Linked DNA regions of Callithrix jacchus. The protein of the gene in region 1 binds, or shares a complex with, the protein of each later gene. Links are inferred from orthologs where the notes say so. Each region holds a gene or a part of one and is shown in the gene's direction. Other genes may lie near its edges.

The links. The genes of interacting proteins can lie anywhere in the genome.
Region 2: the proteins of APAF1 (region 1) and CASP9 are in contact, whole or in part, in a crystal structure (PDB 4RHW), measured with the Homo sapiens proteins. The link is inferred for Callithrix jacchus from reciprocal best matches to the Homo sapiens genes APAF1 and CASP9. Residues at the interface, in NP_863651.1 of Homo sapiens: Thr22, Ser23, Tyr24, Met26, Asp27, Ile30, Ser31, Ile37, Glu40, Glu41, Arg44; in NP_001220.2 of Homo sapiens: Asp23, Trp26, Asp27, Leu30, Arg36, Pro37, His38, Glu41, Gln44, Arg45.

The regions. Positions count from the first base shown.
Region 1 is NC_133510.1:101,750,656-101,754,173, forward strand, and holds part of APAF1 (apoptotic protease-activating factor 1), read left to right. Parts: intron 1-1,055; coding exon 1,056-1,294; intron 1,295-1,691; coding exon 1,692-1,859; intron 1,860-2,948; coding exon 2,949-3,080; intron 3,081-3,518. UniProt on the Homo sapiens protein: Oligomeric Apaf-1 mediates the cytochrome c-dependent autocatalytic activation of pro-caspase-9 (Apaf-3), leading to the activation of caspase-3 and apoptosis. This activation requires ATP. Isoform 6 is less effective in inducing apoptosis.
Region 2 is NC_133508.1:52,830,588-52,834,105, reverse strand, and holds part of CASP9 (caspase-9), read left to right. Parts: coding exon 1-82; intron 83-1,284; coding exon 1,285-1,432; intron 1,433-3,518. UniProt on the Homo sapiens protein: Involved in the activation cascade of caspases responsible for apoptosis execution. Binding of caspase-9 to Apaf-1 leads to activation of the protease which then cleaves and activates effector caspases caspase-3 (CASP3) or caspase-7 (CASP7).

The DNA.
Region 1 (3,518 bases):
TGTCACCCAGCCTGGAGTGCAGTGACCACAGCTCACTGCAGTCTTGAATGTCTGGGCTTAAGTAGTCCTCCTGCCCTAGCCTTCTGAATAGCTGGGATTGCAGATGCCGGCTACCATATCTGACTCATTTAAAAATTTTTTTGTAGGGACTGGGTCTCACCATGTTGCCCAGACTGGTCTCAACCTTCTGCTCTCAAGCAGTCCTCCCACCTCAGCCTCCCAAAATGCTGGGACTCCAGGTGCATGCTGACACACCCAGCTGTATCTTCCCCTTTTTATGTATCTTGAGCATTTTCTCATGTTGTTAAATAGTTTTTTGAAAATATTTCTACCAGTGGCATAGTATTGATGTATCTTAATGTATTCAACCACTTCTCTGTTATTGTCATTGTTTACATTGTTTAAGATTTTTTCACTATTCTAAATAATGCTGGGATGAATATGCTTAAATGAAATCATGCTTTTTTTTTTCTTTAAGACAGGGTCTCACACTGTTGCCCAGGCTGGAGTGCAGGCTGCATCATGGCTCACTGCAGCCTCAACCTCTGGGCTCAAGCAATCAAGGCACATGCCACCACACCTTGCCAATTTTTTTAATTTTTATTTTCAGTAGAGACAAGCTCTCATTATATTGCCCAGGCTGACTTTCTTTTTCTTTTTTTTGTAATGATGTCTTAGCCAGATTTGATCTATATTATTTTGACTTAATAAAGCTAATCAGGAATTTATTAAATGAAATCTTTCTTTTTATTTATTTATTTATTTATTTTATTTATTTTTTATTTTTTATTGCATTTTAGGTTTTGGGGTACATGAGCAGAACATGCAAGACAGTTGCGTAGGTACATACATGGCAGTGTGTTTTGCTTCCTTGAAATCTTTCTTATTTCTAATATTTTTTGGAATAAATATTCTAGAAGTAAAGTCAAGAGTGATAAATACTTGAGGCTTTTGATAACATGCAGCAGAAATTGTTCCTTAAGAGTAAGTTGATTCTTAGTAGTGACAAAATAGGACGGTATTAGCACAATGACTTCATTTTTTTTTTTTTTTAGGCTCTCCCCTTGTAGTATCTTTAATTGGTGCACTTTTACGTGATTTTCCCAATCGCTGGGAGTACTACCTCAGACAACTTCAGAATAAACAGTTCAAGAGAATAAGGAAATCTTCATCTTATGATTATGAGGCTCTAGATGAAGCCATGTCTATAAGTGTTGAAATGCTCAGAGAAAACATCAAAAATTATTACACAGATCTTTCCATCCTTCCCAAGGATGTTAAGGTGCCTACAAAGGTAATGGGATCAACGGTCCTCATCATTGGGTATTTATTGCATGTAAGCTTTGATATAGTACTGAGCATGTTGTTACAGAGGACCTTGGAAGGATAAGACCCAGGGGACTGAGGTGGTAGGGTGTTGGATATAGAAGTCCCTCTGCTGTTAGCCTCCATTAAGGGCCCTGTGTTGAACTCAGGAGTTAACCTATTTCTGTGGTTCTAGTGAAGCTGAAGAAGCATCTGACTTTTCTTTCTCTTTTTTATTTTGAGGAGTAGTTGGATTTCTTTTTAGGAAATGAAGACATTCTTACTCAGGGCCTTAAGATGCAGTTTTTTTTGTGTGTGTGTGTTAACACCTGTCTGTAGTCCTGGTCATTGTACTTGTGCGGCATATTAAATACAATGATTCCTAGGTGTTATGCATTCTCTGGGACATGGAAACTGAAGAAGTTGAAGACATACTGCAGGAGTTTGTAAATAAGTCTCTTTTATTCTGTGATCGGAATGGAAAGTCGTTTCGTTATTATTTACACGATCTTCAAGTAGATTTTCTTACAGAAAAGAATCGCAGCCAGCTTCAGGTACTTGCATCTTAGTTCACTTTAAAAAAATATTTTTACTTTGAAATAATGTTAGATTTATTGAAAAGTTACAAAATAGTAGATAGTTTCTATGCATAAGCCCTTCATCTAGCTTCCCCTGATGTTAACATTTTATGTAACCATAGTACAATTGTTAAAGCCAGAAAACTAACATTAATACAACACTGTTCACTAACCTACACGTCCTTTTTGTGGTCCAGGCTAATTTAGGATCCCATATTGCATGATTGTCTTGTTTCCCTACTTGTCATTTTTTTTAGTCTCCTCAAATCTGTGAAAATTCGTCAGTCTTTGTCTTTCATGACCTTGTCACTTTTGAAGAGTACTGGCTAGTAATTTTGTACAGTATAGCCAAATGTGATTTTGTCTGATGTTTTCTCCTGACTGGATAGAAGTTATACGTATTTGACAAGACCACCACAGAAATGAGGTTGTATCTTTCTCCATGGCATCATATCCTGAGAGTACTTGGTGGTTTTTAAAAATTTTTTTGTAGAGGTAGGGTTTTGCCATGTTGCCCAAGCTGGTCTTGAACTCCTGGGCTCAAATGATCCACCTGCCTTGGCCTCCCAAAGTGCTGGGATTATAGTTATGAGCCACCGTGCTCAGCCTCTTGGTGTTGATATGTTTTATTATGGGTGATGTTAATGTTGGTAATTCGGTTAAAGTGGTATCTGCCAGGTTTCTCCACTGTAAAGTCATTATCTTGTGGGGAGATTCTCTGTATATTCTTTTTTTGAGACAGGGTCTTACCGTGTTGCCCAGGCTGGCATGCACTCCTGGGCCCAAATGGTCCTGAGTAGCTACTTCCCAAGTAGCTGGGTCCATAGGCACATGCCACCATACCTGACTGATTTTTTTTTTTTTTTTTTTGTCAAAAATAAAACATAGGGGTATCTCCCTATGTTTCCCAGGCTGGTCTTGAAGTCCTGACCTCAAGTGATCCTCAGGCGTGAGCCACTGAGCCTGGCCTTTGTACATTCTTAATAGCTTTGGAAGCTGAAGTTACTGTGACGCTTAGGTTATAGAATTATTTCTGGCTTCTGAAATGTTTCATTTGGGTTGCAGGATCTACATAAGAAGATGATCACTCAGTTTCAGAGATATTACCAGCTGCCAAATCTTTTACCAGATCAGGAAGACTGTATGTATTGGTACAACTTTCTGGCCTACCACATGGCCAGTGCCAAGATGCACAAGGTAACATGACCCATTAAAAAATTCTTTTATCTGACTTTATTTTTTTCCATAAATATTGCAAATAAGTGCTGTTTTCTGGTTTATTTTTTGTCTTGAATTTTCTTTATATATATGCTTTCCATTGTATTGAAGATTTTATTTTTATTTTTTGAGACAGGGTCTCACTTTGTCACTCAGGCTTGAGTGCAGTGGCACTACAACCTCAACCTCCTGGGCTCAAGTGATATTCCCACCTCAGTCCCCCATGGGACTACCAGGCACACACCACCATGCCTAGCTAATATTTTTGTATTTGTGGTGGAGATGGGGTTTCACCATGTTGCCCAGGCTGGTCTTAAACTCCTGAGTTTGACCTGAGCCCAAGTGATCCACTCGCCTTAGCCTCCCAAAGTGTTAGGATCATAGATAGGCATGAGCCACCGTGGCCAGCTGAAGATT
Region 2 (3,518 bases), on another chromosome or scaffold:
GCTGACTTTGCTGGAGCTGGCGCGGCGGGACCACGGTGCTCTGGACTGCTGTGTGGTGGTCATCCTTTCTCACGGCTGTCAGGTAGGAAGCCTCCCTCTGCTCCTTGGGCAGGCATTGGGTAAAAGCTGTGCCAAGCAGCCATGCAGGGGCCCTCTCCCTTCCTGTATCCAAAACACCCTTGGCTTTGTGGAAAAGGGCTGTGGGGCCCTGCCCACCTCCTGCTGTTTTCTTGGGAGACATGTGGTCCTCTGAAGAGTTGGCTGCACCTTCCTGGGCAGGGCATTGTTCCTGGGAGAAGCCCTCTGGGAGAGGGAGGGCAGAGACCAGGTCTGCTTACAAAGCTCCTGCCCCTGGAGCTTGTTCATATGCAGGCACAGCACACATGATGTCTCAGCTTCTGTCCCTGTCCTTCAAGGCATTGCTCCAGGCCCCTTGCTGCTGGTGGGACTCAGGACACTCACTCATGTGTTTGTCATGTGGCTAAGCCCTTACCCCTTCCCGGGCCTTGATTTCCTCATCTATTAAGTTGAGGAGTTGGACAGATCACAGTTACAAGCTTGGGCCTGGAGTCCCCCTGTGGTCTGTGCAGTGTTTTGAAAACTGGCAAATTTCACATAAAAATTATGATTCCTAGTTTCTCTTGACAAACCGCAAAGGTCTGGCCTGACCTGTCTGGAATCCTTAGCCAGTAAAACTCCAGCCTGTGGCTGGGCAGGGCTTTCCCTTTGGTCCTTTCTCTCATAATGTGGTCCCTAGAGCGCGTGAGGAATGTGGACTCCTAGGCCCTACCCTGGACCTCTTCATTCCCAGTCTGCCCAATATGACTTCCATGAACTTGAGGTGATTTCCGTGCACTTGAGGTTTGAGCTGAATTGATTTAAAGCAGCCCCTGTTAGCGTTGAGCTGCCTCAGTCAGAGGGGCCTGGAGGACCAGACTGCTGATGAGGAGGTCTGGGTGGGGCCAGGGAATCTCATTTCTTATAAGTTCCCAAGTGATATTGATGCTGCTGCTCCAGGGGCCAAACTTTGAGAGCCAGTGGTCTAGAGGCCGCAGGCAGCACTCTCCAGGCATACTGTCTGGCCCCTAGAGGGATATGAGTTTGAGATGAGACCCCTGGAACAGATGCTGACCAGTCTTTCCAGAACCAACTTCTCTGTCTCAGTTAGCCTAGTGCCCCTGGCTTTGACCTTCCGAATGCTCGGCCCCCATGAAACCTCTGAATAGGCTGTGGGATTCCTACTCCAGCTTCTTGGTGTTGTAACCAAGGCTCTTGATCTTCTAGGCCAGCCACCTGCAGTTTCCAGGGGCTGTCTACGGCACAGATGGATACCCTGTGTCAGTTGAGAAGATTGTGAACATCTTCAATGGGACCAGCTGCCCCAGCCTGGGAGGGAAGCCCAAGCTCTTTTTCATCCAGGCCTGTGGTGGGGGTAAGCAGCTCCTCAGCCTCCCTGTGGGTGGGTCTGGCGGGGAGGGGGCCACCACCTGTTTCTTTCTCCAGCCTGCCCCTCACAGAGCTCACGAGGTCTCTCCAGGCAGTCAGAGGGTACCACACATAGTCTGTTTGTGGCAGCACCTGCCTGGCTGGAGCGGGCCTCCACTCCGTCTGCTCTGTAGAGGTTAGAGTCTTTTGTTCCATGGCACAGTAGCGTCACGGGCTCCTGTAACTTCAGCAGCTTCAATTCCAGAGACTTGGCAAAAGAAACAAAGCCCAAGAGAGAGGAAAGACCTCTTTTTATTTTTCTTGTCACCATTGCCCTGACCTCCATCAACTAGACCCCATTTCCACTATCCCAGAGAAAGGGTGGCCACAGAAGAACTGCAAGAAGAAAATGAAGAATTTAATTATTGGAATTCCCAAAAGCGTAGTTGTGGGGTTTTGGAGAATGTTTAAGGATTACTTGGGCCGCGTGCAGTCTCACGCCTGTGATCCCAATACTTTGGGAGGCTGAGGCAGGAGGACTGCTTCAGCCAGGAGTTTGAGAGCAACCTAGGCAACATAGTGAGACCCTGTCTCTATTTTTTGTTTGTCTGTTTTTTAAGGGATTACTTGGATTATTTTTAGTTTTGCTATATGCTCTGATTTTACACTCAACTCCTACTACAGTGTTATCTGATTTTCTTTTTCTTTTCTTTTTTTTTTTTTTTTTTTTTTGAGACACAGTCTCGCTCTGTTGCCCAGGCTGGAGTGCAGTGGTGTGATCTTGGCTTATCGCAACCTCTGCCTCCCGGGTTCAAGCGCTTCTCCTGCCTTAGCCTCCTGAGTAGCTGGGACTACAGGTGTGTGCTACCATGCCCAGCTAACTTTTTATATTTTTAGTAGAGATGGGATTTCACCGTGTTAGCCTGGCTGGTAATCTCTTGACCTCGTGATTCTCCCGCCTTGGGCTCCCAAAGTGCTGGGATTACAGGTGTGAGCCACTGAGCTCAGCCCCTGATTTTCTTATAAAAGAGGGAAGAGAGAGAAATACGGGGTTCCTGGTTTGTGGGTCATGACAGGAATATCAGGGAGCACTAGAAATTCTGTCCCAGGGAATCCCCTCTGCCCTAGGCTCTCCGGGGACTGGGACATTGAGAAGGTATATCAGTTCCTTGCCTCTAGCCTGATCTGCCAGATAAGTGGGCACTGTTATCCCATAGTGCTGTCCAGCTTGCCCAGCTGTGATGTGGGCACCTGTGGTATGTTTCTCCTGTGTACATCCAGCTGCCCCATACCTATTCCATGTTGGCAGAGTAGGGTGGAGGCTGCCTGGAAGGACGGCCTCTGGCCACATCATTCATCCAGTAAGTGTTTATCGAGCGCCAGCTGTATATACCAGGCCATGTGTTAGATGCTGCGGATAGGGGAAAATCAGTTTCAGTTTCCTGGAATTTATAATTTGACATGAACGATATTAAGACACTGTCATGACCCATGTCCATGACCTGACCGCACGTGATTGAGAACACTTGATTAAACCCTGGATCGGCTACTGACCACACAACCCTGGGTAAGTTAATCTCTAGACATCTCAGCAAATGGGGAGAGTAACAGAACCCACTCCCAAGCTCAGGTGATTCTCCCACCTCAGCCTCCTGAGTATCTGGGCTACAGGTGCACACCACCATGCTCGGCTAATTTTTCTATTTTTTTGTAGAGACAGGGATTGGCCATTTTGCCCAGGCTGGTCTTGAACTCCTGAGCGCAAGTGATTTGCCCACCTTGGCCTCCCAAAGTGCTGGGATTACAGGCATGAGCCATTGTGCTTGGCTGACTTTGATATTATTTAATGCTCTCGTTGGTATGTGTACAGTGACTGGTTCATTTTAATGACTGAAGACCCAGACTACCCCCAACTCCCATTTTGGAGTGTCACATAAGAAGCCCCCACCCTGCTGTTGCCAACACAGTTCCCTCAGAATAGCAGTAATAGGAAGCAGGGAAGGCTGCTACTCTCGAGGTTATAGAAATCCTTCTCTGCCTCGACTCCTGTCTTATCCACAGTATGTGGCCCAGCAGAGCTCTTCCTCTGGAGC